4 linked regions of the Saccharomyces cerevisiae S288C genome follow. Changing the gene in region 3 together with the main gene of any one other region gives a genetic interaction. Each region holds a gene or a part of one and is shown on either strand. Other genes may lie near its edges.

The links.
Region 1: mutations in DAL2 (region 3) and FAA4 together harm fitness more than expected from each alone (negative genetic interaction), as found in Saccharomyces cerevisiae (one large-scale study listed by BioGRID).
Region 2: mutations in DAL2 (region 3) and YFL051C together harm fitness more than expected from each alone (negative genetic interaction), as found in Saccharomyces cerevisiae (one large-scale study listed by BioGRID).
Region 4: mutations in DAL2 (region 3) and AYT1 together harm fitness more than expected from each alone (negative genetic interaction), as found in Saccharomyces cerevisiae (one large-scale study listed by BioGRID).

What each region holds. Positions count from the first base shown.
Region 1 is NC_001145.3:758,208-762,419, reverse strand, and holds FAA4 (long-chain fatty acid-CoA ligase FAA4), read right to left. Parts: upstream 2,614-4,212; coding exon 529-2,613; downstream 1-528. Other genes in the region: COA6 (Coa6p), read left to right, coding at 3,589-3,903; YMR244W (uncharacterized protein), read right to left, coding at 4,103-4,212. UniProt on the Saccharomyces cerevisiae protein: Activates long-chain fatty acids (LCFA) by esterification of the fatty acids into metabolically active CoA-thioesters for subsequent degradation or incorporation into phospholipids.
Region 2 is NC_001138.5:29,507-32,102, forward strand, and holds YFL051C (uncharacterized protein), read right to left. Parts: upstream 1,035-2,596; coding exon 552-1,034; downstream 1-551. Other genes in the region: ZNF1 (DNA-binding domain containing protein), read left to right, coding at 1-123.
Region 3 is NC_001141.2:409,017-412,357, reverse strand, and holds DAL2 (allantoicase), read right to left. Parts: upstream 1,552-3,341; coding exon 520-1,551; downstream 1-519. Other genes in the region: DCG1 (Dcg1p), read left to right, coding at 1-322; DAL4 (allantoin permease), read right to left, coding at 1,983-3,341. UniProt on the Saccharomyces cerevisiae protein: Utilization of purines as secondary nitrogen sources, when primary sources are limiting.
Region 4 is NC_001144.5:14,088-17,677, forward strand, and holds AYT1 (acetyltransferase), read right to left. Parts: upstream 1,986-3,590; coding exon 561-1,985; downstream 1-560. Other genes in the region: S-adenosylmethionine-homocysteine S-methyltransferase MHT1, read right to left, coding at 2,552-3,526.

The sequences.
Region 1 (4,212 bases), on a different chromosome or scaffold from region 3:
ATAAATGAACGTGGGCGAGGTTTTTATTTTCAAACTTGGTGTACTATAGTGCAATGCGTTGTTAATTGTAATACGATGTTTCTTCGATAAAAGGAGCGGAGGGAGAAGGTGAAATTACGAAGGAAAGAAAGAGATGAGAAATCAAGAATGAAGCAAGACATTGATTGATATGGTTGTTTTCGGTGCATGTTTGATTACTAAAAGTTGGGGCATTCGATGGTTTACAGAAGTCATAAATTCAAATATCCCGTTTAATCGCTCATCTATTAAAATCAATAGTAGAATGTAGTTTCATACCCGGGAGAAATTCATAGTTTAGATCACGCTTAATAATGTCAATCTTGTCTTGCTGAAATGAAACTTAAACATGTTTATGTGTAATGTTATTTATTAATTATTAACTGTATCTGTAGGAGAAGAAACTATGTATTGTGCAAGTAGTTCAGGTGTTTGCAAATTGATGCTCTTAGAAAATGAAACGTAGTGTTTATGAAGGGCAGGGGGGAAAGTAAAAAACTATGTCTTCCTTTAAGTGTTTTCTTTATAAACTCTTTCCACATCTGGCTTGACAGCCGCTAGAATATCTCTTCTCTTTAATTTTTGGGCGGATGTAACAAGGCCATTTTCTGGAGTCCATTCTTCTTCAAAGAAAACAATGCCACATAATAATTCAATACCATTCAAGCCTTGAGATTTGGCAGTTGACAGCATATCTTTGCAAACGGCATCCTGTAGCTTCTTTTCATGGATATAGCTTTCGACATCTTCACCTGGTACCATTATACCTAATTCGATAGCCAGCTTAGACAAGTGTCCTAAGTTAGGGACCACAATACCGACAGGCTTAACTTTGTTTTCATCAGCGTAGACACAGATGTTTTGGACGTAAGGATTTGATCTGTAAATGGATTCTAATTTTTCCAATGCAATGTACTCACCATTTAAGGTCTTAACCAAATTTTTCTTTCTATCAATGATCTTAACTTGTCCCTTGGGGGTCCATTCAGCGATATCACCGGTACGGAACCAGCCATCATCGGTAAAGGCCGCAGCAGTTTCTTCAGGATTCTTATAGTATTCAGAACAGATGGGTGCACCCTTAAACAGCAATTCACCTTGATTATTCTTGGCAAAATAGCCCAAATCTTCGACATCCACCAATTTAGCTGTAATAGTTCCGACAAGGTCACCAGCAATACCGTAATCAAAATGTTCAGGCTCCAGGACACAGGCATTAGCCACACCCTCAGTTAGCCCATATCCAATGAGCATAGGACATAGAAGGTTGGAGAGGAATTTTTGGGCGTCTATGCTGATTGCAGACCCACCGTTCAGAATAAACCTTAAGTTTCCACCGGTTGCTTCTCTGATTCTCTTGAAGATCAACCCACTCAGCAAGCCGCTACATGGTATATTTCTCTCTTTCAAAGCATAGACAGTCCAGAAAAGCGTTTGAGACCAACCGGGCAATTCGTTGATCTTGGCCAGGATACCTTTTCTCACTGTTTCCCAAACTGCGGCGACACCCACCATTACGGTAGGTTTAAACTCCATCAGGTCACCTTGGCAATTACGTGTAGAAGTTGGGGTTAAAGTCTTGACATTGGCGTACCCTAGGATACCATTCCAGTAGAACGCTTCGAATTCAAAGGTTAATTCAAAAATATGAGCCAATGGCAAGAATGCGATAATACGGTCTGTTGGGCCAATCCATCCGATAACGTTATGGCCCACACCACCAATACCAGCTACAATGTTGTAATGTGTCAATACCACACCCTTTGGTGTACCAGTGGAACCAGAAGTGTACATGATACAAGCTGGATCTTCAGGCTTGGGGAAATGCAATTCAACCTCGTCCTTGGCCTTTTTACCTATCTCAATAATTTCATCGAAACTGTAGATTTTTATGTCCGGTCTAACTTCCTTGATTTTGTCAACAGCATCCTTGGCAGCCTTGTAAAGCTTACCATTTTGTCTTTTGTCACTTGGATCGATGGGTTCGTTGTGAATGACGAATTTTACGTTCTTGGCGGTTTTCAAAGGAACTGCTAATTTGGACAACAGCTGGTTGTCCGTGAAAATGGCGACGGAATCTGTTTCCACCATGGAGTGAATCAAACCGCTCTCACCCAAAGTGTCGTACGCGGTGACCACAGGAATACCTTGTGACATGCAACCAAGAAAAGTTTTCATCCACTTGTGAGAAGTAGAGGCAAAGATGTGGAACTTGTTCTCACCGTTAGGTTTAACACCAATCTTTATCAGCCCACGTCCAATGTCGTGCATTACGCAGATCATCTCCTCGTATGTCATGGTTATGTAGGGAGTCAGTTCGTAGTACAACCATGTTTTTTCGATGGGCTTATCCTTACCATCCACCCTCTTGACTATGGTTTTTTTCGTCTCATGTATATCTATAATATCTCTCCATGCCATACCGTCTCTCTTACCACCCTTGGTAAAACATTCCAGGGCGAATTCGTACAGTGTAGATGCTGAGGAGTTTATGGGTCTAATCAAAGGCTGGTCTTTAACCCTGATATTTCTTCTTGGAGCGGTTTCATGCTCATTGGCGGCTTCGCCAACTGCAACGGAATATTGTTCGGTCATTTTGATGCGTACTTCTTAGTTTTTCAAGAAATAGTGAAGAACAGAGAAAAAAATGATGTGTTACTAATGCTGGTTCTTTTGTATTCTCGCTTTTATGTCAACTCAGAGGGGTTGCAAACAAAAGAAAGAATGATCAGTTATTGTCTATCTGTTGAGCCTTATCTGAAAGAGGTAGAACAAAAGATGGGCTGTTTTTGTTGGGGTAAAGCGGCGCCGCGAATGTTCTTAATGAGGTGAAAAGAATGCAGAAGAGAAAGATGAGGGCTAAGAGTAGAAAGAACGAGATGAACGAAGGCCGAGAAACACCCAGAATAGAAAAATAGATCGCCGACAATCGAGGGTTCTTAATTGATGGGGACATCGTTGGAGCTTATATAAGTTTGCCGCTACTTGGCGAAGATGGTTGAGCTGGGCGGTTCGGTTTGCGCTTTTGTCTTTCTTGTTACTAAGTATGATTGTTTTTTGTTGGGAAACGGCAAAGACGCGCAGCCAAAAAGCCGAACAGTTTAGTGAGTCTCTTCTTTAAGCGCCCAACACGCTCCATCGTGTTGGATAAAGCGTATGCAACAATTATTTCGGCATCGAACCCGCGGAATAAGCATCGGCTCGGGAGATATTTTTGTTTAGTTGGTATTGTTATCGTGTATAAATTTCTGTCCCTGTGCATTGTGATGTAAATGGCCTATTGTATTGTCAGGTCCCTGTCCGTTCCTTGATGGTATATTGGCACCTGAGCAAATCCAACAAAACCGGGCTCGCCCGCGCGGAAGAAAGTGCGATTGACGATTGTAGCTGAGCTGAACAAAAGAGACGGACATGTGAAACGGTGCTGCGGTGGTAGGTGCTGCTTTGTAGAATGGGGGAGAAGATTCGCCTACATACATACATACATACATACATAGACGGGTACTATTGTAGCGCTGCGCAGGAACATAGATACACGAATATACAGAAAGGAATAGTAGTAATATAGCGATGGGCTTATTTTCATTTGATGGTGGCAAAAAGGAATCACAACCCCCTAATACCCGTTCACAGAGAAAGTTGTGCTGGGAGTCCAGGGACGCATTCTTCCAGTGTTTGGACAAGGCAGACATCTTGGACGCAATGGACCCCAAGAATAGCAAGAGTATAAAGTCGCACTGCAAGGTGGAAAATGAAAAATTTGAGGAGAATTGCGCCCATAGCTGGATCAAGTACTTCAAGGAGAAGAGGGTCATCGACTTTAAGAGAGAGCAGACCATCAAGAGAATCGAGCAGGAAGCTAAACAGAGGGAACGAAATCAGTGAGTTTTTAGTGAGTTATTGGCTCATATTAACATATATATTCCCATAAAACATTTGACAGAAAGGTAATAATTAAAGGATAGTCATGTAGATACAAACGAAAATTTTATGTTTTTTTCTTCGTTTTGCGAAAATTCGCATGAGTGTCTCTGTATATATATATAACAAAAAGATGAAAAAAGGGAAGGTAGAAAAAACCGCGCTAAGTTTTGGCAGTGACGGTGACTGTCTTGTACTTGGTCTCGGTGACCGTTGTGGTAATAACGTCTAGCGGATTCAGTTCTCTCTTGCCTTTAGAAGATGAGCCGCTAC
Region 2 (2,596 bases), on a different chromosome or scaffold from region 3:
TGTGATAGCACATTAGTTGATAAGTTTACGACAAAGTGTCAGTGTGCGCTTATCACGCTTCCTCTTTCTAATCCGCTTGAATCGACAGATGGTTCTAAAGAAGATGTAGATGCGCTTCCTTAAGTAAACACATTGCTACTTGCATTTTACCTTTCAAGATGTAGTGATTACGGACAGTTGAAGAGGCTAATAGCATCTATTTCTTCTTTAGTATATGGTTCCTGCAGGGCAAACAATTATTTCCTTTGCAATTTTGCGGCAGTGGGGAAGAATGATAGCACTAATAGTGAACTTGTGGACAATTATGCTATTATAGCAAGAAAAAAAATTTATTTTTTTTTCAAGGGGGGTGATTGTGATGTGAATTAAATCAAGGATATACGCTTTTATCGTCATGATAGTCGTGCGATTTGTACTTGGTTATAGATGAAATGAGTTAGTTTTTAATAATTGTGATCACAATATAGCTGTACTTATCAGGCCATTAAAGTTTCCTGTAAGGTGCACGAGAAGTCATGGTCATAAAATTATCAGAATCTCCAAGGAGAGGTTCAACGGCGTCGGTTGCCCATACTCCATATTAAGTACCCTGTCATTTCCACAGTTACATTAGTTGGAGTAGTATAGAAACCAAAAAGATCAGAACTCCAATAGGCAGTATTTGGGTCACAGTATTCAGTGTCACGTTTTTTAGTTTCATAAAGAGGTCCGCAAGGATCATATCCATCCTCATCACGCTTCAAAACTGCATAAGTCACACAGGTAGGAGTGCTCTCACAAGGCGGACTATAGTATATGGAGAGATTGGTCTGTCCGCTAACGGAACCTAACTTCTTTGTATTGGAGTATTCATAGCCCATATATTCAGGCTCCAAGTATGTGGTTTGGTCGCCTATTGTGTACTCATAAAAATTAATATTCATACCATCTTCCCTTTTGTTTGTTGGTAAGCAAGCTTCTGTACTGGCTAAGGTTGTAGTAGCTAGCGCCACGAAGACCAAGAGTGCCGAAAATACGGAATGGGGTATAGACATTTGAAGGTGTGGAGGGATGCTGGTATCCTCCAATTGTTACATTAAGATTATCATCTGGCTATCATGAAATGAAGGTTACCTTTATATAAGAAAGACTTTTAAAAAAATGTTTTGTTTTCTGCTTTAGGGAAGTAGATATCGTTCCTGCATTTTGATATCAAAATAATCTCCGGTAGGCATCAATTGCAGTTAAAGCTCTTTCTGGCAAAAACCCCGATACCCATGTAGGTACGCTCTTTTCACCAGGTCTTAATAATTTGATGGGCACCGTTTATCCCAGGCAAGCCAAAAATTAGAAACAAAAAACAACTCACGTACGTTAAAAAACCTGATAGTGCTTCGTACTACATAGAACCCTGCGCTGTTATCTGCTAATCGAGCACTACTAAATTCCCTCCAAAGGAAGTAGAGTATAGATTCTATGCACCGATGTGAAAATAGTAAACCTACGATAACCTTTTTTTTTTTACTAACCGAATTGAGCAGATATTGTTACCTGTTACGGTCATAAAAGTTAAACGATTTTGCTTTATTTCTGTCCCTGGCTGAAAATAGTAAAGAAGAGGGAAGGCAAGTTCAAGGGCAGCTTAATAAGTCATACGAAAACGTTCTCGAACTTTTTTTCTGCAAGCTTTTCAGAACCACGATGGAAAAAAGAAATTTTTACAACACTAATGCCAAGTAAGGTTTTTCGGATTTAGGGTGGCGTCCTGAAAAAAAAAGAAACGTCTCAGAACGTTTCGGAGAAAAAAAAATAAGGTGTCAAATTTCTTAGTGTTTTGACGGGTGATGCCCTTCCAGATAAATCTCGTGGAGATTGGCTAGCGTCAAACGTCACCGATCTCTATTTCTTTTTTAGGTTATTAAATTTCGATTACATCGCGTGTTCTTAGATAAGTTACCAAGGGTGCTCAAAGGAAAATTATATTTCTTTTTTTCTTTTGAGTAATTGCAGGTGAAGAGATACAGAGCAAGGAACGTGATGTAATGCATTTTTTTTTTTGTTCCTTGGAACCACATGATTTACTCAACAAATTAATCTAGTTTGTGCTTCAAGCATGCACCATTGTGAATATTTTTTTAGTTTCAAGGTGACAGGTTATGAAGATATGGTGCAAAAGACAAATGTATGGTGGCAGGCATAGTAAAATGATGGTGTGGAAGACATAGATTGTATTTGTTTTGCATTATCCAAGTGCTCGAGATTGGTTCTAAAAAACAAGAAAATAAAGGGCAAGAAGAAAACCAGTTACTTCTACATTGAGAGGCCAGCCAGGTTGCCGCACACGTGTTGGTGCACGTTAAGTTTTGGGCTCACAGTGGTAAATCATAGAAAAAGCAGTTGCTTAATTTCCCTCTTTTTCATATTCTCTACGCTAGCACTGTAAGGAAAAACGCAGAAAGCAACATACAACGTTTGTTAGGATGTTCGTACTTCACAATAAGCAGACAATAACCATTTCAAGTGTAAAAAAAATTTTTTTTCTGTTAGTTTGATGCAGAAGACTTATACTTTTAACTTTTTTGGTTAACTTACACAAACCAAGCGCACAACGCCTGCG
Region 3 (3,341 bases):
ATTGAATAACTCTGTGGAATCGAAATTCTTGACAGGGAATACAGTTAACAAAAATTTATGGAAAGGTACGGTATCTACTGATTTACAGGTCCTCGACCTACATAGTCCAGAAAATTTCCAGCAGATAGCAGAAATTATATATCGCGAAAATATTAAAAAGCTTGATTCAGACATTGTAATATTAGGTTGTGCAGGATTCTCGGGTTTGCAAAATAAACTGGCGAAAACATTCCAAAGGGATGGCACGCTGTTTCTGGACACGATTGAGATCGGTTTACAGATTCTAATCACTATGATAAGATTTGTCAACTCACAAAAATAAATAGAAATATGATTGTTTTTTATAGAGTGTAAATTTTAATGTTTTGTCGTGAAGAAGAAGAAGTAAATAAAGTAGCGTGGGGATAGCGAAATGAAAACATTCAATTATCAAAACAAAAACTTTTAACTACATTTATACCTTTACTTTTAAAGTGCCAAGAGTGCATTGGTTTAAAATATACAGTAGTTAAGTATTTATCAGTACCCCCAAACTCTTATTCTTTTCACTCCTCCATCTGGAATAATCGTTAATTTGACATGGGAGACTCTTATACTCTTACGTATTTCATACACATGTTCTTTGTCAGGCCCCGTCTTTGACTTACCAACTAGCTCTACCCATGTTCCTTCACCAGTGTTCTCACTTGATTCTGACTCCTTCAAGCAACCTTCCACGGTAATGAACTGAGGGAAGTTCCCCCTGAAGTGTGCCGTATCAACAATAATCTTCTCAATGAAAGAAGACTCCCTGCCCAGTTGAATTACCGCCCAATCAGTATGACCTGGTTGTCTCGATCTTTTGGTTTCCCAGCCGTCCGACATATCATGACCTCGACCTGGCAGTAGCAAATTATCAACTGAACCGAAGTGTTGGTCAGAATACTTTAAAGCGACAGCACCATTGCAAACATAAGCCAAGTCAATTATATGATCCTTCGTTTTGAGTTCTGGAGGAACAACTCTTCCGTATAATCTAAATCTGGCGATTCCTCCATCGGGGTACATCTTCAGCTTGATGTGAGTAAACCTTTCTTTAGTAAGGCCGTTGCCTCTAACGAAAAGATGCCTTTGCGAAGGACCACACTCAAATTTCTCAACAATCTCAACCCAACGCGAGTCATCTTCCACTATATTACCTTCTTCGCCCTCGTCATAGAGCGCCTCTATTGATACAAATGGTGCATGATTACCATTGAAAAACGCAGTGTCAATTTCACCACCAATAATATGGGCAGCAGCGACTCCCATCTTGATGATAACCCAATCGTATTCCATCTCATTATGTCTTCGTGTTTCCCAGCCGTCGTACCATGCGCCTGAATGAACAAATCTGGTAGGATCCCTTATAGGAGCAGTTGGCTGAATTAAATTTTCAGCAGAAGCAAACCATTCATCTGAAAAAGAAACCACTTGACCACCTAACTTAGATCCTATAACATCTACTGCTTTGTTTTTTGAAATGATTATTGACTTAAATTCTGCCTCATCTGCCAAACTAAAAAACTTCATTTTTCTAAAGAAGAGACCGATTAGATACAATTAATTGTTTGATCGGCTTCATAATTTCCCCATATCATAGCAAAATGCACTTCCATTCCTTTATAGCATTTGATCTCAGAAAATGTGTCTATAATTTAGACTTTTCTTCCAGCTGAATTTCATTGTGGTTCCTGTGTTTTTATCTTATCGCTAATTCGAGTCAAAGATAAGATGTCGGAATTATCCGGAGTTCTGATAGGCTCAAACAAGCGCAAGTTTGGTAGGTTGATGACGGTTTAGCTAATCATCAGTACATTATTCAGACGGGAATGCATGTATGAAGCTGATAAATTTGATTAAGAAAGGTACATAAAAATACACAGAACGAATATTAAGGTGTTTTGAAGAAATTATCAATTCTCCTGATCACTACTGGTAAGAGAATAAATTGGGATTTTTATTTAGTAAACTATCTTTTCCTCGGTGCCATCATAGATACTGACTGTGTCATCGCAGAGGTCATCCCTACGTAACTCATTCTTCCAATCTTGCTCGAAGTCCTCAACATAAGCCCATCTTTGGAACCATCCTTTCTCTGTCAGAAAATTGGTTACGGGAGTACCAGGGACAGGAAAAAAGTAACATAATATGAGGTATATCACCGCACTAATAAAGAAACCTACCGGATAACCTAAATAGTATAACCTCATTGCACCCTCTGAAACCGTAATTTTTGGAGCTCCAACATCACCTATAAAACCTGGTAAATTTGGAGCGATACCGCAAATATACGCAACAAAGGCCCTCCAATTGGCACCAAATTTGTTTCCAAACATGTAAAAGGAACCCTTCTGTGCCAGGAATAAATGTGTTAATTTCACATATCCTCTTCTTACTACGAAATAATCCGCGCAAATGACACCAGCAATACTGGAAAGGAAAATTGCATAAGCACCCAAAGCGCTGGTGAACTTACTTGAACTGGCCATTAAGTTCCATGGACAGATACATAGAGCCATTGCCACACAGAATAAAGAACCTCTTCTAATATTAATATATCTTGGAAACAAAGCCGTCATATCAGCACCACATGCCAGAGAGTTGGCAGAAATGTTTGTACCCAGTTGAGCTAAGGCAAATACAAAAGAAATCAAGAACACACCAGCCCTAGTACCTCTGGTGTAAGTGGTCTCCAAAAATTGACCAAGTACATCCAGTGGTGACCAATAGTTAACCCCATATAAGTGATAACCGGCCGCAGTAACAATGATACCGATCAAACATGTTATGGCGAAGAACAATGGGATGGCAACCAATTGTGGCCACAAAGACGCTTGAGGATTTTTGGCAAATCTACCGAAGTCAGGGGCGTTGATAATCAAAGCGGCAAAGTTAGCAACACAGGCCATTAGGGATCTAACGAATATCCATGAAAATTCGGAACCATGAGGTGAATAATCATTCAGCGTCCCCAACTCAATTTTACCGTGCGATTTCTTCAAAGCCCAGATTAAAAATCCAAAGGCTGCGAAGGGGATCAAAGCTGCTTTTACTGTGAATAAATGCCTGATTTTATGAGGAGCCACTAGGACAAATGGTATACTGACCACCCAAAATATAAAGAAACACATGAATTCAAAAGTAGTGCTATTTGGAGAACCAAAATGGTTTGGGATTCTATCTTCCAGATTCTTGCCAAAAATAGATTTTAGCATCAGTGCCACGGGCGTTGCACCTAACCAGGCTTGCACGGCATACCATACTATAGCCATCACGACACGATTTATAATCGGCCACATAGAAAAGAATATACCAAATGA
Region 4 (3,590 bases), on a different chromosome or scaffold from region 3:
AGTTGATATCTAAAGAGCTGCCGAAGGGGGTTTCTGTATCCGCGTAAGTAATTTTTTGAAATTTTAATGTGATTTTTGGCGGAATGGTGTGAGTGGTTCACTTCTCATCTTCAATTTCATCGTCTTATATTTCGATAATAAAACAATACAGTGAGCGTTGTTATTAAGTAAATCATAGGCACTTGGTATCATATAATTCAAAATCAAGTAGTTGTAGTAGTGCGTGTGTGCGTGTTAGTAATTGTTGATGGCCTAGTTCATCTCCTTATTGAAAAATGATAAACAGGTGGCAGTTTCAATTGTAGTAAATATTTATTCATTTTTTTATTATTGCTAACGTATCTGAAGGCTACGATGTAACGCAGCTCATCTCTTTTAAACATAAAAGTCATTTGTGTAATGTAGAGATTTACAAAGATTTTAAAAAAATAACAAAACTATACAAAACTATCTATATTTGAATACTTCCTACTATTTTTTTTTTTTTAACTATAATGAATGAATGCATGCCATATTGACTTACGTAACAAGGTGGCCTATTGGTAATATATTACATATCATCATCCTATATGTGTAGCATAATTTGTCCATTCTTTATCCGCATTCAGGCACTCCCAATCTTTATCTCTAAGGCAAAGAGCAACCACCATTTCACCTCTGGAGGATCTAGGCATAAAATATATTAGGCTCTCAAGGGAAATGAAGCGCGGCCGTCGTACACTCTTGGGCTTCCCAAGCCCTAGATTGAAATCAACGTCATACAGGCTGACTTTTGCCCACGAACTGACCATAATTCCAGATAAAGTATCAATTGGTTGAGGTATAGAAACCTTAGTCTTGTCCGGGCATCGGCTAAGGAGCGTAGCAAGTGCGCATGTATTATAGGCCAAATCGAAGACTTTAGGGTCTAGCTTCCTGCGAATCTGTGATGCAAGAACGCCCAAACTTTTATGATCCAAGCTTTTCAGGGAACCTGTATTAAAGGTCATGTTGACTAATAACCCTGGATACGTTTCGGGGAGTCCTAGCCGTTTTCTAACATCCACAGCACGCCCTAAATTTGATTTCGTTTCTGGTTTAAGTCGAGATAAACGGGCTCGAGAAACTGATTTCCAGATGAAAGCAGTGACGATATCATCAGTGGAGACAAATTTTGTGCCAGAAGTACATGTCTGCATTGCCAAAATCCTCAGATTCTGCAATGAGATAGCAGAAAATTCAACATAAGCCCAAGTAGAGTTCGAAGAACAAGACTGTTCCTTTTCCTCTCCACTTGTATTTCTAGAGGTTTCCACTATTTCATGAACTAGCGTGGTGTCGGGTTCCCAAGTTTCATCAAACAAAGGAATAGATTTGCTTTTATCTATATTTCCAATGAGCAGTTCTTCATCAGAGAAAGGTTTTTGGTGGCAAGATTTATTGAGCAAGTTGATGATACTTTCCTGTCCTGTTATATCCATAATATTGTGCTGCCCGACAATAGTTAAGACGAGGCCGCCGGAGATAAAGTTTGCTTGAACTGCAAATACAGGCCCACTCTTGGCGGCCATACCTATAGTGTTTCCAGGTGGATTGATAGTCATGCAAGGCGCAAAAGTCTTTTCGTCTAACATGTAGATAGGAAAGTCAGCTTTTTCAAGCGAATCCATTGTTGGGGCAGACAGATCTTCTCGAAGATCTTGGACGATAAGTGGAATTTTGTCTGACGGGACAATTCTGTAGGTACCAGTGTTACCTTCGTCAGCACCTTCATTTACGACATTTCCTGCTAGCCACTGGAAATTTTTAGCCAATGTTTCAAGTCCTCTTGTTAAGGTATTTACGATATGGTCATGAGCAGAAGGATCTGGTACACGGTAGATAGAGCATATTTGAGTGTATAGTTTGTATAGCGAAGGTTGTTGTCCCAAAATATCAAGTTGATCGTTTTCTAGCATCTGTACACTTTTTGTACGTTTCTGAGAGATGATCTTGACTCTAAACATCCATCTACCTTCAAAGTGAAATTTATAGTCACGTCCGTCATTATGCACGTCTTAAACATTAAAATCTTGATAAATACACTGTAAAAGCTTTAACGTTATTGGAATAGAAACTCTCATCACTCAGAGACCATCAGTTACCTGCAAAACGTTTCATATTTGTATATAAACCATGAGATTAAGTGGTCTGAAATTATGTATCATTTTTTGCATTCTAGCATGCCACAGCAAGGGGGTACACGTATTTTTTGATGGTGAATAAGATAGAAATGCATACCGTGATACTTCAAGCTGGCACTATCTTTATATCTTCCTCCGTATATAGCACTTGAAGCTCTGTATCTAGAATATCCTCTTTAGTCCGGGACGTGCCTCCAAATACTTACGGATTGGCGAAAAATATGCACTGAAATGTGTGCAAATTAACCAAAATAGGGCAGGCAGTAAAAAGTTCTAATGATTTTTCTATTTGATCAAGATAAAATAACCTTCTGCTGAGGACCGCACATTGACGTATATACACTGCTTTTAGTTTTGTAGATACAAGATATTTGTTAAAAGAAATTGAATTAGGAGTATTTATCTACAGCTGATGCAATTTCGGCGATATCTTTAGGAGACGTTCTACAACAACCGCCAATAATGCGCGCACCATTATCAACGAATTTCTTAACCGTGGTCTCCCAGTCATCCAACTTATTAGTCGGCCGGTGCCATGTCTTCTCTTTGGGATTGTAGATTTCTCCACTGTTTGGGTAAACTAGCAGAGGCATGCCAGGTAGATGCTCGTGCAACATTTTAAGAATTAATGCCGATTGATTGAAACTGACACAGTTAACTCCCATTAATAAGAGATTCTTGTTAATTTTATTTCCGAGGCCTTTTATATGGACAGAAATTTCTTCCAAAGTGGTACCGTCTCGTAGCAAACTATTGTCATCCACCGACAACCCAATATAAAAGGGCTTCGAAATAATATCTTCATCCCAGGATAAAATAGCCTTTAACTCATGAAAATTTGGAATCGTTTCAAAACCAATAAGATCAATATCTCTATTTTGGTTGAAGTTCTCCAGCTGGGGTTTGAAAAAGCCGTAGTAATCAATATTCTCAGGATGGGGACCATAGTCACCAGTATATTCACAGGATACATGTGCTGCCCATGGGCCAATACTCCCGATTAAGTACCTTTCCTCACCAATAAATTCACGAGTAAATGACACGATTTTATCGAGAAAACGCTTGTAAGCAGCCAGAGTTTTAATCGAGGTATTCTCAGATATGCTTTGAAAGTTTGCCTGGTAAGTAATTGTCATTAATATGTTTGCGCCAGCAATCATAAAGTCTCTGTACATTTCTTCTACCACCTTTCGCTCTTGAGAAGATGGCTCCCAAAAGGATTCGCTCGTAAAAGGAGCTGCAGACCATACCGGACTATTTATGTTAATGCCTCTGTTTTCCAATTCTGTACCCTGTCCACCATCAAGGATAAGAACTTTTCCGGGGTGCTCAACTATTAGTTCTTTGATTGGAATGCGCTTCATCTGTTTTTTGATTACTTTTTCAAGTTGCACACTAAAAGTTGCTGATTCAGATTTCTTCTACAAC